Linked DNA regions of Mytilus edulis. The protein of the gene in region 2 binds, or shares a complex with, the protein of the main gene of each other region. Links are inferred from orthologs where the notes say so. Each region holds a gene or a part of one and is shown on either strand. Other genes may lie near its edges.

Evidence for each region.
Region 1: exosome complex exonuclease RRP44-like (region 2) and exosome complex component RRP46-like share a complex: the UniProt entries of both Caenorhabditis elegans proteins name them as parts of the RNA exosome complex. The link is inferred for Mytilus edulis from reciprocal best matches to the Caenorhabditis elegans genes dis-3 and crn-5.
Region 3: exosome complex exonuclease RRP44-like (region 2) and exosome complex component RRP41-like share a complex: the UniProt entries of both Caenorhabditis elegans proteins name them as parts of the RNA exosome complex. The link is inferred for Mytilus edulis from reciprocal best matches to the Caenorhabditis elegans genes dis-3 and exos-4.1.
Region 4: exosome complex exonuclease RRP44-like (region 2) and exosome complex component RRP4-like share a complex: the UniProt entries of both Caenorhabditis elegans proteins name them as parts of the RNA exosome complex. The link is inferred for Mytilus edulis from reciprocal best matches to the Caenorhabditis elegans genes dis-3 and exos-2.

What each region holds. Positions count from the first base shown.
Region 1 is NC_092352.1:17,383,338-17,390,860, reverse strand, and holds the start of exosome complex component RRP46-like, read right to left. Parts: upstream 3,008-7,523; 5' UTR 2,900-3,007; exon of another isoform or gene 2,807-2,899; intron 1-2,806. Other genes in the region: uncharacterized protein, read left to right, coding at 6,386-6,435. UniProt on the Caenorhabditis elegans protein: Non-catalytic component of the RNA exosome complex which has 3'->5' exoribonuclease activity and participates in a multitude of cellular RNA processing and degradation events. Involved in apoptotic DNA degradation.
Region 2 is NC_092348.1:60,052,986-60,060,660, reverse strand, and holds the start of exosome complex exonuclease RRP44-like, read left to right. Parts: upstream 1-4,662; 5' UTR 4,663-4,766; coding exon 4,767-4,988; intron 4,989-6,736; coding exon 6,737-6,799; intron 6,800-7,574; coding exon 7,575-7,669; intron 7,670-7,675. UniProt on the Caenorhabditis elegans protein: Putative catalytic component of the RNA exosome complex which has 3'->5' exoribonuclease activity and participates in a multitude of cellular RNA processing and degradation events. Has both 3'-5' exonuclease and endonuclease activities.
Region 3 is NC_092351.1:28,687,946-28,694,899, forward strand, and holds exosome complex component RRP41-like, read left to right. Parts: upstream 1-3,947; 5' UTR 3,948-4,002; coding exon 4,003-4,090; intron 4,091-6,176; coding exon 6,177-6,832; 3' UTR 6,833-6,854; downstream 6,855-6,954. Other genes in the region: general transcription factor 3C polypeptide 4-like, read right to left, coding at 3,762-3,875. UniProt on the Caenorhabditis elegans protein: Non-catalytic component of the RNA exosome complex which has 3'->5' exoribonuclease activity and participates in a multitude of cellular RNA processing and degradation events.
Region 4 is NC_092345.1:3,685,905-3,693,772, forward strand, and holds the start of exosome complex component RRP4-like, read right to left. Parts: upstream 3,018-7,868; 5' UTR 2,891-3,017; coding exon 2,775-2,890; intron 1,731-2,774; coding exon 1,629-1,730; intron 924-1,628; coding exon 788-923; intron 248-787; coding exon 182-247; intron 1-181. Other genes in the region: uncharacterized protein, read left to right, coding at 3,095-3,166, 7,233-7,299. UniProt on the Caenorhabditis elegans protein: Non-catalytic component of the RNA exosome complex which has 3'->5' exoribonuclease activity and participates in a multitude of cellular RNA processing and degradation events. Involved in regulation of antisense ribosomal siRNA production.

The DNA.
Region 1 (7,523 bases), on a different chromosome or scaffold from region 2:
ATCAAGAAAGACTTTAGTTACAGCTTTAATTCAATGTCATTTTGACTACGCCTGTTCTGCATGGTATGCTGGTGTCAGCAAAAAATATAAAGATGAGTTACAAGTACTACAAAACAAATGTGTTAGATTTATAAAAAACACTGGATATAGATCAAAAGTTGACCATAATGTATTGAATAGTATTGGTTATGTTAACTTTGAAAATTGTGTTAAACAATTGAGATTAAACCATGTACATAATATTCATTACCACCATTGTCCTGATTATATGTATTCAAATTTTACAAATGTGAGACATTTACATCATCATTTCACACGAAATAGCGAATATAACTTCTGGGTTCCTCCAGTTAAGAGTCAACAAAAAGACACATTTTATTTTAATGGCATACAAGATTGGAATATGTTGCCAATTATTGATAAAAAAAAATAAAGAAAATAAAGGAATTCAAAAGTAGCGTCAAAGAGCACTTGACCAAAAGTTATAGTGTGGCTTCATCAGACTCCTTTTAGTCGAGCCTTCGACTATAGTTGAAAAAGCGAGACTAAGCAATCCTACATTCCATCGTCGGAGTCCACAAATATTCACTCTGTGGTTAAAGTTTTTAAAATTTTAATAACTTTCTAAAACTATCCTGGATTTCTACCAAACTTGGACAGAAGCTTGTTTATGATCATAAGATAGTATCCAGAAGTAAATTTTGTAAAAATAAAATTCAATTTTTTCCGTATTTTACTTTTAAATGGACTTAGATTTTCTGCCAGGAAACAACACATTCACTCTGTGGTTAAACTTTTTAAAATTTAAATAACTTTCTTATACTATTTTGGATTTGTACCAAACTTGGACAGAAGCTTGTGAATGATCAAAAGCTAGTATCCAGAAGTAAATTTTGTAAAAATAAAATTCCATTTTTTCCGTATTTTACTTTTAAATGGACTTAGTTTTTCTGCCAGGAAATATTACATTCACTCCGTGTTTAAAGTTTTTAAAATTTTAATAACTTTCTTAAACTATCCTGGGTTAGTACAAAACTTGGACAGAAGCTTGTTTATGATCAGAAGATAGTATCTAGAAGTAAATTTTGTAAAAATAAAATTCCATTTTTTCCTTATTTTACTTTTAAATGGACTTAGATTTTCTGCCAGGAAACAACACATTCACTCTGTGGTTAAACTTTTTAAAATTTAAATAACTTTCTTATACTATTTTGGATTTGTACCAAACTTGGACAGAAGCTTGTGAATGATCAAAAGCTAGTATCCAGAAGTAAATTTTGTAAAAATAAAATTCCATTTTTTCCGTATTTTACTTTTAAATGGACTTAGTTTTTCTGCCAGGAAATATTACATTCACTCCGTGTTTAAAGTTTTTAAAATTTTAATAACTTTCTTAAACTATCCTGGGTTAGTACAAAACTTGGACAGAAGCTTGTTTATGATCAGAAGATAGTATCTAGAAGTAAATTTTGTAAAAATAAAATTCCATTTTTTCCGTATTTTACTTTTAAATGGACTTAGATTTTCTGCCAGGAAACAACACATTCACTCTGTGGTTAAACTTTTTAAAATTTAAATAACTTTCTTATACTATTTTGGATTTGTACCAAACTTGGACAGAAGCTTGTGAATGATCAAAAGCTAGTATCCAGAAGTAAATTTTGTAAAAATAAAATTCCATTTTTTCCGTATTTTACTTTTAAATGGACTTAGTTTTTCTGCCAGGAAATATTACATTCACTCCGTGTTTAAAGTTTTTAAAGTTTTAATAACTTTCTTAAACTATCCTGGGTTAGTACAAAACTTGGACAGAAGCTTGTTTATGATCAGAAGATAGTATCTAGAAGTAAATTTTGTAAAAATAAAATTCCATTTTTTCTGTATTTTACTTTTAAATGGACTTAGATTTTCTGCCAGGAAACAACACATTCACTCTGTGGTTAAACTTTTTAAAATTTAAATAACTTTCTTATACTATTTTGGATTTGTACCAAACTTGGACAGAAGCTTGTGAATGATCAAAAGCTAGTATCTAGAAGGATTTTGTAAAAATAAAATTCCATTTTTTTCGTATTTTACTTTTAAATGGACTTAGATTTTCTGCCAGGAAACAACACATTCACTCTGTAGTTAGAATTTTAAAATTTAACTTTCTTATACTATTTTGGATTTGTACCAAACTTGGACAGAAGCTTGTTTATGATCAAAAGCTAGTATCTAGAAGGAAATTTAGTTTTCTTCCAGTTGACATTACATTTAGTCTGAAGTTAAAAGTTTTTAAACAGTATTAGATTCATAAACTATCCTGGATTTTTACCAAACTTAAACAGAAGCTTCTTACAATTTAAAGATAATATCAACAGGAATATTTTATTGATTTATTTACTCATTTTTGTTGAGCCTGCGATTAACAGAAAGAGTAGGCGAGAATTTTTTTTATATTATTAATCATATTTTTATACAAGTTATTTTTATGTCATATTATTATTAATTTGTGTGTTATCGTTTTTTGTATGTCGAAACTATAAGCCGTTTACATGAAGGGACCACGTTGCAAACAAGCTTTAGAGCTTTCATGGGTTATCCTAGTCCAAATAATTATGACGTCTGGCAAGGCTATTTTAATTTTTTTTCTGGGACGAGAAAGTCATAGGAAGGCGTCATATATGTGTTAGTATTGTCTTTATGTATCGTACATATATGTATTGTGTATTGTAATTATAGATATGCTTGATATTTTATTGAATAAAATATTATTATATTATTATTATTCATTAAACATCATACATGCAAAACACGTGTTTACTTTTATAATTTCACACGAATCCCTGTGTCCTTTTTTAATAAGCTTTAGTGATGATGGATAATAGTTTTGAAAGAATATATATAAAATGGTTACATTCAAGCCTCATTAATAAGGTAACTGGTAGAATATGCAATCAAACTGCGAACTGTTCAAACACTTTGTTGGAAATAAAGGGAGGTAAATCTAAGATGTAAAAGAAAAAGGATAGAAAAAGAAAAGGAGTGCCGAATGATAACCGATTTACTCAAAACAAAATCCTCGTAAAACACAGTTCTCTAACATTTCTTTTTTTTTTAATTAAAAAAAGGCACATCAGATCAAAAATCAACATTTGATCAGATTTAAATGGTTTGAACAGTTTTTCAATTCGTAAATGATTTTCTGCGTAATCTGTCGATAAAATTAATAACACGGTGGAGTTGTCATTTTATGTTAAAATGTGCAACATAGCCTAAAAAAGCCAATGATATAAATCTATATGTTCACTATAAAGTAAAGTAAAGTAAAGTAATCTTTATTTAAAGTCGGTTTGCATATATATACATAATAACAGAGAACATGAGCTCTTAAGAGCTCTTTAACCGACTGATATTAATAAACAAAACATAGGGGGGACCGGGGTTGAATGAGACACTTTTTATGTTCTTGTCTATACATACAAATCAATTATACGCAGCTTTCTCACTAGACCTAGCAAACTAGACAAACATCTCGTGTACATTTTAAAAAGGATTTGAATCCACTAAAGCTATTTCTTAAGTCACATCTGACGATTTAATGGGGGTTGTCGCATGTCACAACCTACCCCGTGTGCGGGGTACGTAAAATCTTCAAAAACGCTTCTATGGCATAACCATTTCTATCTCGATGCAATTTGAAAAAGACTTCACGAAAACTTTCTAAATATTCCATAATTTTTTCTCTAAAGGAAGATTTACAGTCACTGTCTCATTCAACCTGTGTCACATTCAACCCCAGTCTCCCCTACATGTAATAACATCAGATACACATACAACACAAACATACAGACATCACATATATATATTAATACATAGATAGCACATGCAGAATAAAAGCTAAGCAAGATAGATTAAAACAAATGTCTAATATCAGCACATATACAGTAGCACATAGTGTGTGGTTATATTTAAATAAAAATGTTGAATGCGTCTATTATTTTTGAAGATATCATGATTTATTGACAGTGCTGAGACACATACATGTATTACGTAAGGTCAAAGTATATACATAAACGAAATTTAAATTTTAAACATCAGTTTACTTTTTTAAATAAAAATTGAAAGTAGTTAATTTGTATAGGTCTTTATAGTCTTCCATAATAATTATTGTTCACTTACACATAGACAAAATCCTTCCATTTCAATGTATTGTGGATCAATAGTATAGTATTTAGAAGATAAAAGTTTCATGCTTAAATATTTACCAATTACGATTTTCATACTATAATGTACAATTCTGGCCACGCGTCAAGAGTGGGAAAAATATAATTTGACCACATAACATAATATACTTTGCAAATGTTTGGTGTATAAATAATAGTAATTAAGAGCGTTAAGATGGCTTGTTTCTTGTGTCTCTTGTGTGTGTGTGGTGATGGTTGTGGTGGAGAAAAAAAGGGGGGTTCCATGCGGATTTCATGTTATACTTTTTCGTATTTGGAAGAATGGAAGAAGAAGACCACAAGGTTAAGACGTTTGAACAAGTTTGCTTTAAGTAATTATGAGCATTCTTTAAAGACTTCAAAGGCGATTCTACGACAGTTTCCACTTCCCCTATTAAAACGGTCAAATGTAATCATTGAGCTGTACATCATGATCACATGCATAAATGAAATTCATGGAATAGGCTGGATCTATTGGTATACATTACTGCAGTAGAGATGGAATGTTGTTAACTTGAGAAAAAAAATCGAATAGTGTATAAAGCGTAAAATGGAGATATTAATAATTTTTAAAATGGAAATTACACTCCATCCAGAAAAGGATACATATTAACCTCAGTATTCATAAAATAAGAATTTTTCGACCTTCCGTTGCGGTCATGGATCAGGTTCGGCCTTATAGTCGTCTCGACCATGTACCATTTTGGCCATATGACTGATGAAAAAAAATTCGTTTCGGCCATTTCGGTTATACCCTTTATAACTTTGAATATAGTTTTTTTGACACTTTTATAGGAATGAAGATTTAAGAAATATTTACTTACCTAGTTTCTCATTCAAAACATCGATAGCCATAATGTCCCGAAACGACCAAGACCGAAGTTGGGTTTACCGAAACGCAGGACCTTTAGCCGAAATGGCTTATAGCCGAAACGTCTCGGAACTTTCTCGGCTTTAGTAGTTTCGACCATGTACCATTTCGGACATGGTAGAAACTACTAAAGCCGAGACGTTTCGGCTAAAAGCCACTTCTCACATGTACCATTTCGGACATGTGAGAAAGTCCATTCGACCGTGTACCATTTCGGACATGTGAGAAAAAGACGTTTCCTCCATTTCGTCCATACATTTATTTTTGTATAGGCCTACCCTTTATGAAAATAATGAGATATTATTAATTTGCCGTACTGATGTGCCGGAATTTTCTTTATTAAGTATAATATATAAAGAAATATTTACTTAGTCTACCTCTTAATTATTCAAAACATTGATAGACATAATGTACCGAAACAACCAAGGTCTTTAATAGTCTTTGTCAACTTGACACTATGATCTCTCTGTATTTAGATCACTATGGTAATTTAATCACGTTCGCTAATGTATAAAAATCATCAAGTTAGTACGAAGTTGGGTATGACCGAAACGACCAAGGACGAAGGTGGGTATGACCGAAACGACCTTTGGCCAAGCAGGTTTAATATAGCCGAAACGTCTCGAAAGCTCGATTAACACTGGAATATTTTTCGTAATATTTGAACAATATTTTCCTTTTTTTCAAAATCCGTGAATTTTAGGTTTTCCATTAATTTCAAAAAATATGTACAAATTGATATTTTTTTGTCTAAAAGTTATAGTGAGACAGTAAGGCAGCAACCATTTGATTTTCGGGGGGGGGGGGGGGGGGGGCTATATGGATTTTTTTTGGAAAAAAAATTGTTTTTGATTCTGAGAAAAAAAATTGTTTGTTTCCCCCTCAGCTGCCACTATATGTAATGCTAAAATTGAAAGAAGAAAATTGTCTTCGACTTGTCCCGAAAAAAACCCATTGTTTTTCGCCGCAGGCGAAAAAAAAAGTTTGTCCAGAAAAAAAATCCATAGCCCTCCCCCAGAAAATCAAATGGTTGCTGCCTAAATGATTCAATAAAGTAGTCTCAGCTATATGTATAATGTATTTATATACCGACTCTAAATAAAATTTACTTACTATAACCAAAGAGTGAGGTTCTGGTTACCTAATGGAACATAGAATCAACAAATGAATGACGTAATTTACGCGCATTAATACAGACACTCATGCGTTCTTTTTGAGTCCATTGAACAACGGACGTACAGTGAGGAAGAAGACCTCCAAACAAGAAATTACATTAAGAACTAATTTGAAGAACAAAACACAAACTATGTCATACAGAGGAAGAGACCACAATTCTGGACGATCAGACCGTAAAGGGTAATTATTAATATTTCTTGCTTTCAGTAATTCAGTTCTAAAAAATGACGATTGTTCAGACATTATGAGAAGTAGTTCCTTGCATAAATTTTTGAACGCATTAAAACATTTGTCTACAAAAGAATGAGTTCCCCTAGGTATATTAAATTAGTTTTTATATATTTTAAGGACGAACATAATCACACTGTCTAAGATTGTTCAACATTCTTTTCGCAATTTAAAAAAATTAATGATCACGACAGGTGTGCATGATCACTATAACCGGACGTTCAAACCTCCATTGACATTGTAAGTTTAGTTATATTTAATAATTAAAAAAAATCTTGTGTGAAGTCTTTTGTCACAAGTTAGGTGCCAAATACACTGGACTGCATGGTAGTTATATAACTTGTTGAAACTTTTCTCAAAGAATACATGTCCCTGAAATTTGGAATATTTAGGCCATAAAAAAGAATAGATTTGTTTGCCCTACCTACCCAGAAAAAACTGCCTACTCAAATTCTGTTATTGTCCTGATTAGAAGAAGGTTTTTTTAATCAGATAGGCATGAAGACTAATAAACATCCGATACAATGTACTTCAATTTCTTAAAAAAAAAAAAAAATACCTACCTACCCACTGTCTCAACCTTGTAGGGTTTGGGCAAACCAAAATATTTTTAATTGTGGCCTTATCAACTTCTATTTCCTGTAATGGCTTTATTATTAAAAATTAGAAAACCACCTTTTGTAGTTGTCCCTTTTATGATAAATTTTCCCCCCTTTTTAAATGAAAAAGGGGAAACTTCATCATGTAAGGGATAACTACAAAAGGTGGTCTTCATTTAAAATGGGGGATAAAGTTTCTTTCAACATTGGAGTAAAAATTTAATTTTGGCAGCCTTCACGCTTAACTTTCGAGTCCACAAGCCAGACGCTTTTTATACGACCCCAAAAAGTTTTTGGGATTGTACATGTATATTGGTATGATGTCGTCGTCCGAAGACACATTGGTTTCCGGATAATAACTATAGTTTAAGTGAAAAGATCTTTATGAAATTTTTTCAGAATGTTCAATACCACAAAATGAAGGTTGGGATTGATTTTGGG
Region 2 (7,675 bases):
TGAAATTTGAAACTTGAATTTCCAAAGAATAAGCAAGTCCAAACCTTGTATGTGTAGTCGTTGAACTCTAGGTTCCCACGTAAAGTTAAAATGTCACTATTTCAAGGAGCATAAACTCACGAAAGCACGAAAAATTCACTAAATTCGTCTTTATTCGCGTTCATTGTTTTGATTTTGACCGCCTGACAACTTTACGGAAATGTCAAAGTGATTGTAAATAAGGACTCTGTGACGGGCAACTTATAATATCCGTGTTTTAAAGATTTTAATGATATTAGCCGGTCCAGTTCAAAGTACTATCACGTGGTACAATTCTCATTTACATATTATGAATATTAGTTAGCAAAACCACTACTAATTTCTGGCTATGTAGTGATAAATTCAGTGAAGAACAATACGAAGGCACTAGAAACTATTCCTAGCAACACCGATACATACAAGAACTCTTTCTTTGCCAAGAGCATACTTCACTGGAACCAACTGGAAGACCGTATTGTATGCGCAGATACCGTTGAGAGCTTCAATGCTGCTCTCCAACACCGTTCGTGATAGGTGTCTCTCTCCCGTTGAGTAAAAGCTAGAATTGGTGTCTTCAACGTACACATACACGGATACAGATGGTGGTCACAGACTTGCGTAAGTGGGGCTGGATTTAGGGAGCTACCATTTTTTTTTGGAGGGGCTAGTATCAGTATCAAATTTGGAAAAAAATGCAGGACAGGAGTTTTTAGTAAAGATCAGTAAAAATCAAGACAGGATGAGCAACTTGGCAAAACAAAAGGCTGGATGACAATTTATGTAAAAAAAAATCAGGATTTAATCCGATTAACTAATAAAAAGGCAGAACCGAATAGAGTGAAAAATAAAAAAAGTAGGATAGAGATTACAACTTAATAAAATGCAGAACAAAATGGTTACCCCCTCCCCCCTTAAAATCAAATGGTAGCTCTGTATCTGTATGTTACACAGTGCAGGATCCGATCGCGGATATATGCGCACTGGAAGGAAAGCGGGTTGGTTAGTCCAACCGTTGGAGGGCAGCCATGAATCCCTCAACTGTCTTTTGACATGCAATTTCCTCGTCCAGATGGTTCCACTCCACTATTGTTTTTGGTAAAAAAGAGTTCTTTTGAATGTCTGTTTTGCAGTCTATTAAATTGTACGATCGATCTGTTATTTCTGGTTTCTTGTCTTTCCACGATGTTTGTGTATTGAAAGTCACTAAAGGTTTTTGCCTTGACTTTTTTTTTATATAAATAAGGCCGTTAGTTTTCTCGTTTGAATTGTTTTACATTGTCTTATCGGGGTCTTTTAAAGCTGACTTTGCGGTATGGGCTTTGCTCATTGTTGAAGGCCGTACGGTGACCTATAGTTGTTAATGTCGGTGTGAGTTTGGTCTCTTGTGGACAGTTGTCTCATTGGCAATCATACCACATCTTCTTTTTTATATTGGCGTTTGTTTCTGGTCTTTTGCAGGTAATTAGTTGGATCAATAGCCGTCACCAATCCCTCAAACACTTTGTAGAACAAAGTCAGCCTCTGATGTTTCCTTCGTTCTTGGAGAGGTGGTAGTTTTAGCTTAGAAAGCATAGTATTTGTGACGTACCCGGTGTCTCTGGATTTATAATCGTGCAAGATGAAACGTGCTCCTCTTTTCTGTATACTTTCTATTTTTTCTATTTCCCTGATAGTGAATGGGTCCCAGATGACAGCACCGTTTTCTAGTACGGATCTTACCATGGCTAAGTAGGCAAGTTTTTTGCACTCTTAGGGGCACTGACGCAGGTTTCTTCTCAGGAACCCTAGTGTACAGCTTGCCTTGCTGGTTGTTTTCCCTATGTGACTGGTCCATTTTAGGTCATCAGATATGTTAAGACCTAGGTAAGGATTTGTTTGTACCTGTTCTAGTATGTGTTGTCTAGTTGGTAGAAGTGTGTTGATTTTTGTTTGAAGCTCATTATATAGATTTTTTTGCGTTAACTTTCATTTAGTGCCCATACTTCCAGAGCTTTTAGATCTTCTTGGAGAGTTTGATGGTCTTTTGTGTTGTTAATCTCTCGATAGAGTAGGCAGTCGTCTGCAAATAAACGAACTTGAGATTTTACGCTTTCCAGGAGGTCGTTGATGTGGCATAGGAAAATCAGCGGTCCTAGTACTGTGCCTTGTGGTACGCCAGAGTCTACGTGAGCATATGCTGAGTACTAACCTTCTACGACAACCCGCAATTGATAGTTTTTGCAGGAATGCTGCTAACCATTTGTTAAGATTACCATCTATTCCGTAACTGTTTAATTTAGCCAGTAGTTTTTCATGTGGCACAGTATCAAAAGTCTTTGAAAAGTCGAGTATAGCCATATCGAGTTGAATGCCACTGTCGAAACTCTTTAGTAGGTCTTCTGTTGTGACCACGGGAGGGGGAGGAGGGGGTAACTTCGATATTTTTTTGGTAGGGGTGTGCCATTTTTGCCTCAAAAACATACCCATTTTAATACAACATTCACTGAAATTCAGTACCTATAGTTATATAAATATTTAAGAAAGAATGATCTATACTTATATACAATATTACATATTATGAAAATCATATGATAAAATTATAAAAGTCTTGTTTATAAGTTAAAATCGTTTCGGAATAGCTGTTCTGTAAGATTCTCAATAGCATATTTATATATGATATGTAAATCATACCCATAATCAATATACAGTTATCAAACGTAAAATTAATGCATTTTAATATAAGATGTCATTAAAAAGGAGGGTCATTTTTATATAAAATCTCGCAAAATTATGACTCATATTTTTGGCACATCCCCGTATACCCAATAATAGGAAGTGACCCCCCCCCCCCCCCCTTGTGGTTGTGACTAAGAGCTGTGTTGTGCAAGGTGTTTACAGATGATGTGTTCCAAAAGCTTACATATTACACAGGTCAGTGAAACTGGTCTGTAATTCTCAGCTGCGTGGACCGTGGCCCCCTTCTTAAAATCTGGAGCTATGTTTGCACTTGACCAATCTTCAGGGAGAGTGCCTGTGTCAATTATTTTTTTAAAGATGGCGGAGATGCTAGGTACTAAACCTAAACTAAAAACTTTTAACCAAGCAGAAAGTGACCTACTACAGAAAGATCTGACATCATTAGAGGAATGGGAAGATAAGTGGCAAATGAGCTTCAATGCAAAAAAATGCATTGTAATTAGAATACATCCCAAGAACCGTCCGGTAATACCAACTAATTACAAATTACACGGACACACACTGGACACCGTTGAAGCTAGTAAGTACCTGGGAGTTACTATCAGCAACAATTTAACCTGGGACAGACACATCGACAACATAGTGGGAAAAGGAAACAAAACACTAGGCTTCATACGACGTAACTTAAAGGATTGTACTAAACCGGTCAAAGCAGCAGCATATTCAACAATAGTAAGACCTTCAGTTGAGTATGCTTGCACAGTATGGGATCCTACGAAACAGGCTAAAATAAAAGCAATCGAACAAGTACAGAAAAGAGCAGCTAGATTCGTAAACAACAACTACACAGACCGCACACCTGGCTGTGTAACAAAAATGGTAACATCTTTAAAATGGGAAAGCCTCGAAGACCGCAGGAAACAAAATAGGCTATGCATGCTGTTCAAAATCCAACATGATCTGATAGACATAGATAGGCACCAATATCTGACACCAAACGATAGCCGGACCAGAGGTAAAAACCGCTTCTTCCAAGAAAGGGCCACAACAGACGCCTTCGGACAATCATTTTTTCCAAGGACCATTAGAGACTGGAACCAACTTCCAACATCAGCAACATCAGCTGACACAGTTGATGGATTCAGAGCTGCCCTGAAGGCATGCTCTGCTAAAATTTAGACAGTAACATCCTGTAAATAGTTTTAATTGTATATATATAGAGAACGTTTTATCCTGTAAATAGCCAAGAGAAAACTTTCTGTGTTGTCCGACATTGCGTTAGTTTTCGCGGGACCTCATACATTCAAAATTTGAATTCGGTTCCTTACCTGGAAGAAGAAGAAGAAGAACCTGCATTGATGATGTCATTAATATATAGCCCCATTCACAGTGCTTTTCTAAATTGGCGTTTGCAGTCTTTTTGGAATTGTTTATATTCTTTGTAGCTTCAAGTTTTTCTAGCATGTTTGTGCAACCTTGCTTTACTTTTTAGCATTTTGCGTAGTTTTCTGTTTAACCGTGGAACAGAGTGCTTTTTCTTTATCATTTTAGATGGTACATTGGTCACAGTGTCAATTGTTGCCCGAGTGTACTACGTTCTTGAAGGTTTGCCAGGTTTTATCTATTGACATATCGTGTATATGATTATAAATGTACTTTGTTATGTTTATGTCCGTTTTAATCTGATCCCAGCTCCCTTAATCCAGAGACAAGTCACATATACACATATATATGTCTCTACTTAATCAGACTGTACCCGATGTTCTGTTTTCATAATCAGCTAAATCAAAAAAAAAGAATTTCCTAACCAAATTTGTTAACAAATAACCATGTTATTAAGAAACATCAATGCTTTGTTATGTTTTGCACCAGTTATTCGTAAACTGCATTCAAATGAGTCTTTATGTCTCATTTCATTAAGGAACTTAGCTGTCTTTGTTTTTCCAAGTGTTTAGCTTGTGTCATTTGTTATACCGAAAGACACTCTTCGATGTTGGAGGTACAAAGAACTATCATTTCCGGTAAAAATAAACGCATGTGAATTTTATTTTTGTATTTTAAAATCGCAGAAAATGTTAACAACAAAGACTTTTATCAAGAAGACAAAGAAAGGGAGTATTATAAAGATTGTGCGAGAACATTATCTCCGTGATGACATTACATGTGGATGTCAGAGTTGTACAATCTGCGACAAAAACGATGTCAAACCTTTGGAAAGCAAACCTGTCAACAAAAGCAAATTATGCAAGAAGTCACACTATCTTATCTTGGACACCAATGTAGTTTTTCATCAGGTATAAAATTTACAGGTTCTTTGTTTTTATTATTGAAATCCAGGGTAGTTACACCCACATTACAATGCATTATGGCACATACCTGTTTAAGTGTTTAGGATGTTGATTACATGGATCAAGATATGTTTCTTACTATTTAATATGAGGCAGCATTACCTGTAAATGGGGACGAAGTCTGTATGAATTATTTTTTTTGTAACTTAAATATTTGTTAAAAAAGAGAAACGGAAATACTGTAACGTTTCCTATTTTGGTTCTGTTGTTATTGATTTCAGTTGTGACGTTATTTAAGTTATGACGTCATATGCAATGTAAAAAAAGAAACGCTATCATCAGGTAATGTTTTTTCATATCAAGGAATTATTAAAAATGAAATTGGTATTGCGTTCCTTCCTATTTTATACTAGACTGATAAGTATATATTTTACTCAAAGTTTCATACAAAGGAGACCGGAGAAAGGAAGTACATTGTAGATTTCTGTGCAGGTGCGTGAATTTTTTTTTTTTTTTTTTTTTTTTTTTATTGATTTTTCTACTGTTATTGGGGACTTTGTCCCCATATAAATCAAGAGTGCATCCGCTGTTAGAATATGTGACATGTCTCTGGTAACTGTACCTTTAAAAGACATCCGCAAACTGGAATTTTTACAAAGAAGGGCATCAAAATTAGTAAAAAATATATATCATCTTAATTATGAAAAGACTACGTTCACCTTGGAATATCGTAGCCTAGGGATACATGTAGGAATGATAAGATACAAGTCTTCAAAGTGTTGCATGGTATAGATGACATCAACTGGATGAGCCTATTTTCTTTAGCACCATCTAATAATAATACTAGAGGTCACTAATTAAAACTTTGGGGGGCTAGGATGAAATTTGAAAAAAATAGGCAGGACAGGAATTTTGAGTATAAAAAAAAGAATGCAGGATGAGACACTTGCAAAAAAAAAAGTCAGGATGACAATTTAGGTAAAAAAAAAGTCAGGATAAACTAAAAAAAAAGAAGGCAGGATCGAATAGAATAAAAAATAAAAAGGCAGGACAGAGATTACAACCAAAAAAAAATGCAGGACAAAATTTTTCATCCTAGCCCCCCCCATAAAAATCAAATGGTAGCTCCCTAAGTTAGCATATATTTAAGAGTGATCTCTCTTCAACCTGTTAAATTAGGTATTGAGTATTGTGGAAACAGTTATTCCCATGATTATTTAAAGCTATCAAATGGATAAATGCTCTTTTTGTTTTGATATTTATTACAGTGGACATCTCAATTGATCAATTCCAATTGAAATATATACTGAAACAATTGCCACTTTAGAGATATGTGTTAAGGAATGAGCTCTTATCATTTCTTTTTACCAGTTTGTTTGTGAATGTTTTGTGAATGTTTGTTTTTCTTGTCAAGTGATTTTTCAGGTGCTTGCCTTTCACTTCATTCAAATTTTATGGTCCCAAGAAATTGTTTTGATATAGTTATATTTATGTATGCCATATGATGTAAAAACAGTATGTCTTCATAGAACACATATTATACATGTACATACAAGTATATATATTATTTTAGAAAAAAATTTAGCATTTTTTTAGCTATTTTTTTACACAAAGTCACACGCCCTTTCGGTTGGGATTTTGCATGTTTTGAAAAATGGTTGACAATAAGGGATGAACCCTTAAGAAACATTTATATAAGATTACATATGTCTTGAATTTTTCTTTTTTAAACCAGTTTTTTTTTAATTTTTCAGATTGATGTAGTTGAAGATCCCTCAATTCAGAATGTGATAGTTCTACAGACAGTTTTAGAGGAGGTAGGGTGTATTAGACTTGTTAAATGTTACAATAATAATATATAATAAATAAAGGCCTTTTCCATAATGTCAATATTTTTGCTTTTGTGTGGAGGGTTGTTCAGAAATTACTTTTTTAATCCACCATTTCAGCACTACAAAATTCAAATTCAGATTGAAGGTTCTTACAGGACAACCTACATTATTCTTATATTTTCAGTATCTCCCTCCTCTCTTTTCTTGTATTGACAAAAAATAGTAGGTTTCATGTGGATGTTTGAAATCATGGTTTTGCCAAAGTCTGCATTCAAGCCTTTTCAAAATTTAAAATGGATTCAATGTATATTCAAATTTACAGTTCACTTTTACCAATGAAATCCACGATATTTGGTAAGCCCGGAATCATGATGAATCCACAGTACATGTTAAATGATGTAATTAAGGAGGTAGACCTAGGTTAAGGGAAATAACTATTAAAATCATCAGTACGTTTGTGTCAACCATTTTCATAAATATATTCTAAGCTTCTAGGTTACATAGATTATTTCCAATCTGTTTCAGGTAAGTGCTTAAAAAACATTGATGAAACTTGACTTTAACAAACACATAACTGATTTAAAGAGTTGTCTCCCTGAACAAAGGTCTACCACCTTAAGTGCATATATTTACAAATATATTGTTTTGTAAAAGTTTTAGTACACATAGTTGTAAAGATATACGTATGTATATAAACATTGTTATTTTACTTTTAAGTTTAATAAATTAATAATTTACCTACAATGTAAATCTTTAACAGATTCGACACAGAAGTGCTCCTGCTTACAAGAGAGTCAAAGACTTCATAGCAAATCCAGACAAACATTTCTACACATTCTGTAATGAATTCAACAAGTAAGT
Region 3 (6,954 bases), on a different chromosome or scaffold from region 2:
TGACGTATTAGCCCGATTTATTGAATTCTGGGAAAAAATAAAATCTGTTTAACTCTTATAGCTTATCGACAAATATACGTAATTAAAAGCACACAGCTGACGAATGGTCGTAGTTATTAACCACAATATAATAATGAACGAAAATGAATATGCATATACCGTTTTGTATTCATTGAATTAAACTCCTATAAAATAATATGTCTCTGTCTCTAGTAAATGTTTTTGAATACATTTAATTAATTATTGTTGAGATTTTATTCATAAAATATTTATTGAACATTTTTACTATTTACTTGTCTATTTACCGTTATTGTTTTGATAATCATTTTAATGCAACTAATGTGTGAGCAGAGTGTGTATATTATTTTGTAAAGGTCACTGTATATTTCTCGGTTTGAGGTCAATTCGTTTACCTTGTAGCTATTTAGCCGCAGGTGTGAGTTCAAGCGTACACAGGTATAAATGTTGTTATTTGGAAAGGATATACAGAAAGGATTAGAAAGAGTATGATGTCACGATGTTAATACACTAAGATTTAATACACGATGAGAATAAAGATTCAATAATTAAATTGTGTAAATTAATTGAAAATAAAATTCAGATTCGTAAATCCGAAAATGTATAAAAATAAAAGGAAACAATTTTTGATTACTTTCTTAGCGGCAATTGGCGTAAAGATTCAAATATGAAGTAAAAAATAGTAGTTTTAATCTTTAATAAAAACTAAATGCAATATTACCCAATTTGATATACCATTGTACATCTGTTTGATATCATTGACTTTATACCGGAATTTCTTAACTTGTATTCAAATCTGGCTGTGTTTAAATGCTAATAAAACTATTGCAATTTTAAAGTTTTTAATTGACAAAAAAATACAACATACATAATTTTTTTTTTTAGTTTCTTTTTAACATTTTATTCTTACATAATTAAATTCATTTGACAATCATTTACACGAACTTTTTGTGAAAAAATACCAATTATCTAAGCTAAGGCATTATTTTTTTTTAAGGATTTTTGAGGATTTTTTTTTTTAATTCTATGATAATAGTTGTGCAATGTTGAACATGATAGCCGTCATTAATCCAAATAAGTAATACAGTAGTTGTAATAAAAGTTATATTTTAGTCATGCATAACTGATATTGACAAATTTAGAATAGTTCGTCCATACATCGTTGTTCTTGAAACAATCATTATTAGTATACATGTAAGTTTCCTGACGTATAAGAGCCATTGAGGATGAGCTCCAGAGAAAGCAGACTAGTAGCGTTTCGTTCGTTTGTTTGTTGGGAAAGGAGAGGAAATGCAACCGCTTGTACAGATAAACAACAGAATTACCATACAAGCATTTATAGTCAACACAATCAGAAACAGTTCCCATCGTTAGACGGGGAATATGAAGGCTTTCAAGAATGAACAAGTGACATGTCTTACTCGAACAGTTAGAAAACGGACTATCGACATCCGATCGACCGCTTGTTCTTGATATTTGAAATTGTATGCATATATACGTATACGTTTATGATAGTGATGAGTTCTTGTGTCTGACAAAAACTAAATTCCTTCATGGTTATATCTTGCCATACGTTTATATTGGTTTGTAAGGTGATTACTCAAAATCATTATTTGAAAATCCTGTTTGTGAGATGTATATTCATTTCAATACAGAAATTTCGTCTATATATTTCACAAGTGTATAACACGGAGAAGCTCTGAAGGTCCATTACTCCCATTTTGTTTGGGTGTGAACCATCGATGTTGACAGCAATATCAAAGAATAAGATGACGATGGTAGAAAGAACTATGGGCGTCATGTGGCAAATATTACATGCATATCGGACAATGAGTTGTCAATCTGTATGAAAAGATTTCCAATACAACCATATTATTGAGAAGGAATGTTTACATGCTATACTCTCGTACTAGTATTACAGGGTTCTTGTGGCGTTCACCTTAGACACACATCTTTTTTAACGATGTTTAAAAAAAAGACAGAACCAATTTAATGTCATATTTCCCTATTTTTTTAAATATAACTAAAAGTCTTTCATCTGACAAGAATACCCCTATTTAGCGGACAAGTAATTTATTCTTTTTTCTGTTATTGAATACCAAGAAAAAAAAAAATCCCGAAATTAATTTGAAACTTTGATACTCTAAAGTTTCCCAGCAAAATATTCACATCCCTTCGGGATAATTAGTGTTCGTCCAGTGGCATATATAACAATTGTGATGACGAATTCCTTCCTTTGTTCGAGAACAATCTTATTGAAATATAAATCTGTGATTTTACTATGTCCACAACTTCAATGAACCAAAGCAAAAGTTATACATCGACCTGTATTTAAATCAAATTGGTTCTCTTTTTCTTCTGGTATACAATAGTCTATCGACATTCGATGATTACATACTGTTGGCATACGTGGACTAGTCTATTTACAACACTTTTACCCCTATTTATTCAAAATATATGTTTTTTTCTTATGTTCAATGTATACATGTATATATTTTAAATTGCGCTATAGTTCCGTAACTTTCTATCCAGTCGTATAAACGAATCGTCGGCAAGTGCGTACATTTTTTTAAATCAATATTTCTGGTATGTTCCAATCTGTCCTTCACTTTTGACAATGAGTATATATTACATTTTCCCAAATTCACCCTTGGAAAAAATATTTAAATAGATTTTAATTTCATCAAATCTTATTTTTTGGGTATTATTTATATTTTTATGAATAATATTCTTTACACCAGAAATGTTATTTATAAACAAGCGTATGAGTTTGGTAATGACAAGTAAGACAGAGTTGTATATTATACATCTGATAGTTCAAAATGGAAAGTTAAATGTTATCAGCCGTGTACACTGATCAATACCTGCAGAAGTGAAACGATGCGTGAACTTGCAAGCCCGACAGGAAATCGCTTGAATACCTGCACGTGTCACCTCACACCCCTCACAATACCTTTGGAAGTAATACCTTTAGCCATGCTGGTGATCAGAAGAGGGAAGATCAAAATTTATTTGAAAACAGTTTTTAAAGAATTATGAACAAATTAGATTTTCGAAAACAATTTTCACGGAACACTTATTTATGATTTCAACTTTGACTTTTCACCTAATTCCAATATCAAGTTTAAAAACAACAGACCATGGTTAGTTAGTCGGATAAAACAACCGTACGATTGACAAGATATCGACACGCAATTACGACTACATCGGTTACTGTAGTTTTGTTTCTTTGTGGTTTATAGACATATCGTTTCATTAATCGGGAAAGAAGGACAAAATGGCGGAACGCAGAGAATTAATACCCTTAATTTAAAATCGATGGTGATCGCTTATCTAGCGGAATAAAACTTTAATATCTATGAATTTGAGCATTTTTATACAGAATGAACATAATATCAATTTTTGATTTTTTTACGAAGTTTCCCTTTAATACATTTCTATATATATGGTCTTTTTTTTCAAAAATATTCATTATACATGTAATCTCATAAATTCGTATATAATTTTAATAATATATATAAAGTGTTTTTTTATTAAAGTAAAAAAATAACAATCTACTAATCGTAGTCCGAGTTCGTTCAATATATTTCTGCATATAAATAATGGTAGGCCGAGTTTGTTATAGTCCGAGTTTGTTATAGGCCGATTTTGTTTTAGTCCGAGTTATCCAGCAGCGGACTCGCACTATAACTGTATAAGTCTTTAACCAAGAAAGAATATAAACATTTACTGAGACAATTTACCAAAAGTAAAACTCCATTATCTGTAGCAATTGCTACTGTGCCATCTTCCGACCAATCTAGAGCATTATAACTAGATATTTCGTGAGGAAAAAGAATTTTATCCCCTCCCGCCATCTTGAGGAGAAGTCCGAGTTCGAAATGATAGGTCTTTATTGATTGGATAATATCTCGATCTTAACCAATCAACGCTTCTTTTACAATTGTCGAGTTCAATTTCCATGCCGTTGTAAATATTGGGAGCATGGCAGGAGTGAATCTTTTGTCAGATCAAGGCTATAGAATAGATGGCAGAAAACCAAATGAATTAAGACGGATCCAGTGCAAATTAGGTTATTGATTTGTAATTTGACGCACTTCGTTTTGGATACACGAATCACTAGTCCGAGATTACTCTGACGTCCAACGGCTGTTTTCCCAGCTTGTCTGGCAAAACAGCCGTTGGACGTCAGAGTAATCTCGGACTTACGAATCACAAGAGGCCTTTAAATTCTCCATGTCATGTTTTTTTTTTAGAAGTTACGCCCCTTTGAAATTATTTGCTTCAATTCACCTCTGCAACAGTTTGTCATCACAACTTCTCTGAAACTACACAACAGAATTTCATGAACCTTTGTAGATAATAAGGACATACTATGCAGATGTGCATATCGACTGGAAATTATGATTCAATTTTTTTTCTTCAGTTACATTATTTTATTTCTGTTGGGACGTGGGGTATCTGAGCGCGCTCACTAAGGTTCTTTGAATTATTCAATTTTCTTCTGTCTGTATCTGTATCTGTATGTGTACGTTGAAGATACCAATTCTGGCTTTTACTCAACGGGAGAGAGAGACACCTATTGGCGGTGTTGGAGAGCAGCCTTGAAGCTCTCAACTGTATCTGCGCATACAATACGATCCTCTAGTTGGTTCCAATGTAGTACACTCTTGACGAAGAATGAGTTCTTATAGGGATCGGTGTTGCTTGGAATAGTATCTAGTGCCTTAGAATTGTTCTTTACTGAATTTGTCACTATATTGGCACATACAAAATTGTCAAATGTTTTAGGTTTGATTTTCCTCTTGGGTTTACTTTTAACAAGAAAATCGTCGGGATTAATAGCTGGGACCAACCCCTCAACCACTTTGTACAGAAATACTAGCCGTTGACTTGTTCTTCTTGTTTGTAGGTTGTCTAGTTCTAACTCGGCTAGCATTTTGGTGACCGACCCCTCTTCTCTAGACCTATAGTCGCCTGTGATGAATCTAGCTGCTCTGCGTTGTATTCTTTCCAATTGATTTATATCATGTTGTGTATATGGGTCCCATATTATGGCACCATATTCCATAGTTGATCGTACTAATGATATATATGCGGTCTTATTGCAATCTTTTGGGCAGAAGCGTAGATTTCTTCTTAGAAAGCCGAGTGTCGAATTGGCTTTCTTGGCAACGTTTGAGATGTGCGTGGTCCATTTTAGGTCTTCTGATATTTGTAAGCCTAGATATGGGTTGTGTTGGACTTGTTGTAGTACATGTCTGTCTAGGCTGTACATCTTCTGGCTTTTATTCTTAATGCTAAGTATATAGCACTTCTTTGCATTGAAGCGCATGCCCCAGTTTGTGGCCCATACTTCTAGGTTTTGGAGGTCTCGTTGTAGGAGTGTGTGGTCATGTTGACTATTTATGTTCCTGTACAGGAGGCAGTCATCTGCGAAAAGTCTGACAGATGATTGTACTGAATCTGGAAGGTCGTTTATGTGGCAGAGGAAGAGAAGGGGTCCTAGTACTGTACCTTGTGGTACACCGGAGTCAACTGAAGCTTCTTCTGATTCCTCCCCATCTACGACAGCTTTCATTTTCCTTTGGGTTAGGAACATCTCCAACCATTTGTTTAGTGGTCCTCTTATACCGTATTCGTTCATTTTGTGCAGTAGTTTGTTGTGCGGCACAGTGTCAAATGCTTTGGAGAAGTCCAGTATAGCTACATCAATTTGTTTTCCTGCGTCGAAGGCTTTCATGAAGTCGTGTAGTGTGACTAGCAGTTGGGTTTCACAGGAATAGCCTGACCTGAAGCCATGGTTCGTCATTCGTCATGCAGGGTACCCCATTCCTACCCTCATGTACATTTTGATTTAAATTATGTAACAAGACCCAAGTATGCCTGAATTAGACTTTTAGTTCATTTTAAAGGCCAACCTAGGCTTATAATTTTGAGGACAATAAGCTTGTGAATAATTCTTAAACTACAGGTATCACTTATCCTTTTGAAGACAAGAAAATGACAATAACAAAAAACAAAACATAAAATAAAAAGATCAAACGATAAAGTGTTATTATGAAAGTTGGTTGTAGTTGGAAGTTTAAGGACTTCATAACTTGTATATCATTATTTCATTGTAGTTAGCATAACAATTTTTTCTCTCTTTCCTTCAGGTGTATTCAAGCAGGCAGATGGATCAGCATACATTGAACAAGGAAATACAAAAGTGCTGGCCACAGTCTATGGTCCACATGAAATCAGAGGGAGCAGAGCAAAGCTGTTACTTGACAGAGTATTGGTTAACTGTCAATACAGCATGGCTACATTTAGTACTGGGGAGAGGAAACGTCGACCAAGAGGTGACAGAAAATCACAAGAAATGACAATGCATTTAAAACAAACATTTGATGCAGCAATTATGACAAATTTATATCCACGATCACAGATTGACATTTTTGTTGAAGTTCTCCAATCGGATGGTGGAAATTACTGTGCTAGTGTAAATGGGGCTACTCTTGCTCTGATCGATGCTGGTATTCCAATGAAAGACTTTGTTTGTGCTTGTTCAGCAAGTTTTGTAAATGATAATCCTATTGCTGATATAAACTATCTTGAAGAATCTTCAGGTGGACCTGAATTAATTGTTGCAACACTACCAAAATCTGACCAGATAGTTTTTCTTGAACAGAACTCGAGGCTCCATGAGGACAATCTGAGTAAAGTTATTGACTTAGCAGTGAAAAGTTGTAAAGATGTTTACACTGTCTTAGACCAAACAGTCAGGGATCATGTTAGTGAATTGTCTAATTCACATGGATGGGATCATTAAAATAAATTGCTTCATCAAAAAATGTCTCCTTTACTGGCTGGTATTTGTGTGTTTCAGATTTGTTATATTGTTGGGTCGGTGTATCTTACATTAACATACATGTATACCCAGATATGCACGGC
Region 4 (7,868 bases), on a different chromosome or scaffold from region 2:
AAAACAATATTCAATGCTAAAGGTTGAGCCATATGAACCAGATTTCTTTACAAAATTATGGAATGCAAAAATCTGTTATTGACCTTGATTAGTTTGCAATATGTGACAACCACTTAGTCTGAAAACTTGTGCACATTTACATCTGAATTTTTTGTTGCAATCTTAATTTTTAAAAGGATACACTTATGAGGTCTCCTTCTTTAAGATAATTTCTCATCATCTTCTCATCTTCCTCTGATCTTCGCCTCTAAAAAAGAAAAGGGAAAGAATCAAAAACTTCGACAAATTTTAATAGCATCATGATTTATCATTGAAATCACTTTTCGCATCACTGTAAAAGTCAATTCAACACAAATATGTCATTTACCATTTAGCAATAGAAACAGCAAAAACTTAATGTATGCTGTTTAGAAGTATTTTCATTTTGAAAAAATCAAGGGGAGATAATTCATCAAGAAAAAAAATGCATTGTACATGAAATATAGTACAAATAAGATTACAAATTTACACATTATCATGATTTATCATTGGAATCAGGCTCTTTATACATCACTGTAGAAGAATTTCCATATCTTTATTTTTATAATAGAAACTGTAATCTTGAAATTGAATATTTTAAAAATATGTACAACTACATGTATGCATCAATTATATCAAAATTGTCCACATACAAGTCAACTTACATCCACTTCATTTGAACTTTGTAGAGAGTTGTCTCATTAGCAGTCATATCACATCATTGAACTTATTTTTATATTAGTAATTTAAAAGGACAAATGATTCTTACAAGTTCTCCTCCTGGCAGATTAACTGATGACAACATTAATATGGAATCTAACTTTGATCTGGTATCTACTTTCCATCTCTTTTGTCCCACTTCTATAATTCTCCCAATCACAACATCTCCAACTTCACCATTATATCTATGGATTAACAAAATAATTATGTGTTACCACTTCTATAAACCTACCAATCAAGGGTGAAGGTGTTAATGTGCATGAAATAACCTACACATGATGTGTAACATAGACTTAGAAAAACATTGTATATCAAAGGGACAGTACTGTCACTGTTTTGCATATTTATAGATTAAAGATGAGTGTCAATGAAACAACTCTCTTATGACTAAGAAAAATAGCTGTAAACATGGCTTACAACATCCTATTCTCTTTCGACATGACTGACAAAAAACTTTTTTAGTACAGTACATATGTACCTTGAAATGAAAAATTGACATAGAGATATACAATGTATTAAAGGAACATTTCATTAGTGGTTGTTGTTTGCTGATGTGGTTCATAAGTGTTTTTTGTTTTTTATATAGATTAGATTGTTGGTTTTCCTGTTTGAATTGTTTTACACTAGTCATTTTGGGGCCTTTATATAACTTGCTACAATTTGGTGTAAGCCAAGGCTCTGTGTTAAGGCCTTACTTTGACCTTTAATTGTTTACTTTTAACAATAAGAAGAGCTGAACTTGGGCAATATACATGTACCTGAAAAATTATACACCTTAAAGCAAAAAAATCTTAGATAGAGAGTTGTCTTATTTGCATTCATTCCTCCTCTCTTTATTTCTGTTGTTGAAATAGTGAAAATAATCTGACCAATAAATTGCTAATGTTTACCTTGTTTTAAGAGGTTTTACACATATTAATTTGTTGACTCTCTCCACAACACCGGCTACTGAAGCATGAAGTTTCTCGTCCTCCATATACGTTCCATGACCACTGAAATTATGCCAATAAAATATAAAATATAATTATTTCTCAAGTACATATAAAGGCCAAATCGTTACTTTTTAAAAAGTTTTTAAGGGAGACAAAAAGAGCTGAAATTTCGCATTATAAATGTCCCTGAATAATAATACACCTTCAATACAGGCACTTGTATCAGAATTTTTTTTACTGTATACCTTTAGTTGTCATGATTATATAACACAAGGTACTGGCATTTTGAAAAAAATGTCACCCAGTCGCGAAATAGACAACTTTCGAGTTTGATGCATTGTCGTCAAAAACTCTGGTTTTAGTGAACACCATTTGTACGTTAGGTGCTTCGTCACTTCTGTTCCAATGCTGAGCAAGTGACCGGGAAAACTATAATGTTATATTGCACCAAAAATGTATTTTAATAATTGACAATCAGCACTGCTGTAATTAAGGAATTGTTAATAAGTACTTACAAAACAAACATTATTCTAGTTAATCCTGCATAATGACGATCACTGTATTACATACAAACAAAAATCAGGGGCGAACATGTGAGGTGTAAGCGTGTAGGGTATGACAGTGTATTGAGCGGGAACGGACCTGATAACATTCCTCAAAAGCAGTCGATTTTTTATCGTCTAAATGAAAGGGTACATTTTATTGTCATGAACCAAAAGTTACCGTTAGCCACATTTGGCAAGAATTTTTACAATAATCTATAGTGAAGGTTACTAAGTCTGGTACCTCCATTATAACTCTCTTGTATGATGTCAAAAGTTCAAGAGGCGTAGATTCTTGGGTCAAGCGGCGCAGCCTAGATTTCCAAATAGCGATAAGGTCTATAAAATTTCAATATTAGGACTACAATAACAGTGAAGTGAAATATTGATAACTATACTGCCTTCTCCTCTTTCCGGTGTATAAATGGGAATGATTATACTGATTTTTTTTAAATGATTTAGACAGCCAAAATGAATAATTCTAAATTATTCATTTTAAATAATCGACAAATAAAATTTATGTTCATTTCATGTTGTTCAAATATTGTCATCCATTTCCTACCGCATGAAACCAGTATCTGTAGTAATGACATCGCCTGGACACACAAGGTTCGATATTTCCTCTGTGAACTCTTGCTTTTGACGATCTCTGGCTCCAACAACACGAATATCAACCATGCTGCTTCCTTGCGGGTTTGTTTACAGCTCTCATCGTTTATGTTTTTATTTTTAAAGATTAAAAACTGGTTACTTCCAAACGTTCTGAGGACAACGACGTGAAATCTTATGTAAAATCCAGAGGATCATCGAAATTTTAGTCGGAATATTTGACCTTTCATTTTCAATGAAGAATCACGTTGTATAATTTCATCAAATTAAAAGATGACAGAAGAACAAGTTGCAGAAGCTCGTACTAGCAAGCTCGAGGAGCTGCTCATGCAAGATGAACCCGAGGTAATTAAAATCTACTTTATACAATACCATTCAATTGTCATGATTGTCAAATCACATTTACAAAGTTTTTTCACAGTTACATCATACAGGAACATAGATATACTGTTCCCAGCATCATATAAAAACAAGAAGGAGAGGCATGATTGCCAATGACACAACTCACTACAGGATGCCAAATGACACAAAAAATAACAACATAGGTTACAGTAGGCTAGTGAGTAGGGCCTTCAACAATACACCTTATCGCTAATCCCGGCTGACCCGGCCGGCCGCTTGAACTTTTGACGTCAACAACAATCACTTTTCCATTGTGGCGTCAGATATTTTGTTTTATGACGTCAAATTTTTACGGGAACCTGTGTGATTTCCAGCAATGGCGGACAAATAGCAATAAAGGTGTATAGGATTAGCCCTAGTCCAAATAATTAAGACGTCTGGCAATGCTTCGGTCGTAGGAAGGCGTCCCAGGATTAAATTTAAATAGCCTTGTCAGACTTCATATTTATTTGGACTAGATTAGCCCATACTGCATAGTCGGCAATAAAATTAAAAGTACTTGAGAAATGGGACACTCGAAGTGACAAATGTAAAACAATGCAAACATGAAAACAAACAACCTAATTTATTCACAAAAAAATAGCGAAAAAGCTAAGAGGTTACACAACAACAAATGTCAACCACTGAATTAAAGGCTCCTGACTTAGGGCAAGCACTATTTCAATGTTTTAATTATTGCGAAAAATGTAACCGGGTTATAAGGCCACACCAATTTGATCCCTTGTTCGACGGACCCGCCAGCACCTATTTTTTTCAAAACAGAATTTTTTTATTTTTTTTATATTCCCGCTTCCCGCATCCGGAATTGTAATCATGTCCATTTCCCGCACCGTTTTTTTTTTGTAAATATTATAAAAAGATATCAACATTTGTTAAATCACAGTGTAACCTGTATATAATGATTTTAAACATAAAAGCACCCCACCACACTGTGTAAATATCTGTGAGAATATTTGTTTCAGCATGAAACCTGGAGTGCTCCGATAAAAAGTTATAACAGCGGGTATTTCCGTGAAGAACAAAAAATTGGTTTCTTTCCCCCTTACTTATATTCCCTATCAAAAGATGTTCGTTGTTAGAATAAAGTACAAAGAACTTCTGAAGGATTTGCCTTCAACTGCAATTATATTGTATGCTCGCGAAACAAAACTATCCATAGCCGCTGCATGTTTATGCACCTGTCCTGATTGATTCAGGAGCATGTCGTTCAGCAGTTATCGTTTGTTGATGTTGATCATTGGTATTTTTTCGTTTGGATATATAAATTAGATCGTTGATTTTCCTGTTCGAATTGTGTACGCTACATGTAATAATTTTGGGGTCCTTTATAGCTTGCTGTTTGTTCTGTATCAAAGCCCTGTGTAAAAGGCTGTACTTTGACCTGTGTTTGTAATTACATTGTATCAGGTTGAGAACAACCCTCCCTCAGACAAGGGGTCATTTTACTGATGTAGAAAAGAAAATAGAAATACTAAGGATTTGTATAGTTCTGCTATATAAACCTTTGAACACGAATTTTGTACTCAAAAAGAGGAGAGTTACATCATATTTTAAACAAATTTTTCTAAAAGAGGGGTCCACTTATTTTGAATAATATTAAACTGTTAAAGTAAAGTGTTAACATGGTTAAAGTCCAGGAATATTACAAAATTCTTGGACATGTTTTGACCATTTAATACCAGATAGATATATAGTTCTATGAGAAAATATGAGCTCTTTTGTACAAACAAATATATTATAACTTATATTGATCCCTCATAAAACATGTAAAAGGGATATTTATAACATTAAGGGGTTGCCCCCAAACTGATTATGATTTGGATGGAGAATTGTCTCATTGTCAGTCACACATACATAGACCAGATTTAATTATTTCTTGGTGAACAGGGAAAAAATACTTCAGAAATTAAAGAAATGTCAAAGTACAAGTGGTAAATCAAGTTTTAATATTATCAAAACCTATTATTTTATGTTTACAAAAAAAATTATAATCGCTCGCCTTTACTTTTCAAGCTTCGCCTCAAAAATTTGCAAATTAAATATTTTTTTATTAAAAATTTTCAAATCGCTTGCTCGCCCCAAATTTTGGAGTCCAAAAATCTGTAGAACAAGAAATTAAATTGGTGTGGCCTAATCTGAATAAGGCCGTGTTCAAACCAAACGCCGTGTAGAGTAAACATGTTTACAATTAGTTTAGTGTAGTGTACACTGGTTTCACATTACATTTGTTCACATCTATACACATTGTTTAGCTACCTGTACATAAGATTTGTTCCCATTTGTAAACTATATGTCATTTAAATGTTCATTACGTAGAACTGATTTCAAATTTTTGGACAATTTTTGTAGCGGTAAGGGAACAACCATTTGACTTCAAAAGGGGAGTCGGGGTGGGAATGGAAATATTCCGATCCCCAATTTGATAAAAAAAAAAAAAAAAAAAAGGTCATACAGATGATAAAAAAAATATTCTGAATCAAGAGTTTCCCCATACATTATAGTGTTAAATATGGAAAAAAGTATTTGATCACCAGCATCGAAAAAAAAGGAATAAAAAGGTTTGCGCGAAAAAAAATCTGACTCAGATAAAAAAAAAAAAAAAACCCTCCCCCTTTTTTTAAAGTTAAGTGGTTGCTACTTTATGAAAGCCATTTTTATAATTTGCAGTAGTTTGAATATACTAGAGATGTCTCCATTACGCATTAGAAAACGTTAGCTGCAGCAGCGTGCTTACAGCCAAAAAAAAAGGATTGAGATATTAGGAATCACTACATTTTAATTTTTTCTGTTTGTTTCAACTTGATGGTATTTCTTCTCAAAGGAGTATTTGGTAAAGGAATAGGGTAACGTTTTTTTTAAAATTTATTTGAAGTTTTATTTAACGGATCTGAGATATAAGACAAACATATCATTTACCTCACACTTTCTTTAGTCGTGCATTTATGCGTGAATCGTTGTTTGAGTAAAGACCAGTGGCGAATATTTCTGTGTACGTCAAGTCGATTCAGGAAGACCTTTTCAAATGAATTAGGCAGCAACTATTTACTTCATTTTTTGGGGAGGGGAAGGGGGGGGAGAGTAGGGGGCGTGGGCTTTTGATTTTTTCAGGACAAATTTTGGTGACAAGTCGAAATCAATTTTAGCATTATATATATTGGCAACTGAGGGTGAAACAAACAATTATAGGGCCAAAAACTTGTTTCCAAACACCCCCACCCCCTTGCTTTTATGTTTTATACTCAACTATAATAGCCCCCCCACCCACTCGAAAATCAATTGGTTGCTGCCTTATGGGTTCGGCAATGATGCTGCTTTAAGTCTTGATCAGGGGTTAATAGGGTACGTTAAGTTTTTTTAACAAAAAAAAATCTGTAAAATTTAGACAACAATTTCTGTAAAGAACTATACTAATAATTATCAAAAATATCAATTTTACTCAAAAATTGTTTCCTCGTTAAATATATGCACGGTAAAACTAATGTCCTAAATGCCTAGTTTTGTGTACACTTAACCTACACAAGGCCTACATTGACTATCGACTGTGTGTAGATAAAACATGATTTAAACTACATGTAAACATTGAGTTTTATCAATGGGAACGCAATTGTATTTAGTTTACGTGTGATTTACACTAACACAACACCGAATTTAGGTCAATGTGAACATGGCCTAATTTAAACTCACATTTTGAAGATTTGTATATACATGTATATGAATTGAACAGGATATTTCTCAATATCGCAAACATCAATATCACATTTTAATCTGAAATGACAAAATAGCAATAATAAATGCATGCACAAATTTCTGAATTTACAGTATGTAGATTGGCATATTGACAGGAAATTATTATTCAGTTTTGTTTCTAGGAGTTATGCCCCTTTGAACTTAGACTAAGACTGCAACATGGGGTGTGGGGTATGTGAGCTTGCTCACAAAGATTCCTAACTTTTTGAATTACTAAATTACTTAATAAGATGATTGTTACCCTAAATTATTTTTTTTTCAGTTTGTAAAGAACAAAGATGTATGCCAGTCAAGGTGTTTTATTAAAGGACTTGGAACAATGTTTGTAGGTGGGTACATATACCAATATCTTTTTTTTTGTCTGTCATACATGTATGTCCATTGTCCTTGCTCTCATTTTCATTGGTTCATTGGTCAATGTAAAGTTTTGTGTTTTGGTGTGTTTTTCAAATACTAGAAGCATTATGTCAACTGGTATTGATTGAATAATAATTTTAAGGTGTAAATGTCTGTCTTGCAGGATTATCTGATGGTGACCTTGACTTCATTGTCATGGATGTTAAAAAATGTTCAAAGGGCCAAGTGAGCTTTTCTCATCACTTGGCGTCCGTCGTCGTCCTGCGTTAACTTTTACAAAAATCTTCTCCTCTGAAACTACTGGGCTAAATTTAACCAAACTTGGCCATAATCATCATTGGGGTATCTAATTTAAAAAATGTGTCCGGTGCCCCGCCCAACCAACCAAGATGGCGGCCATGGCTAAAAATAGAACATAGGAGTAAAATGCATTTTTAGCTCACCTGGCCCGAAGGGCCAAGTGAGCTTTTCTCATCACTTGGCGTCCGGCGTCCGTCGTCGTCCGTCGTCGTTAACTTTTACAAAAATCTTCTCCTCTGAA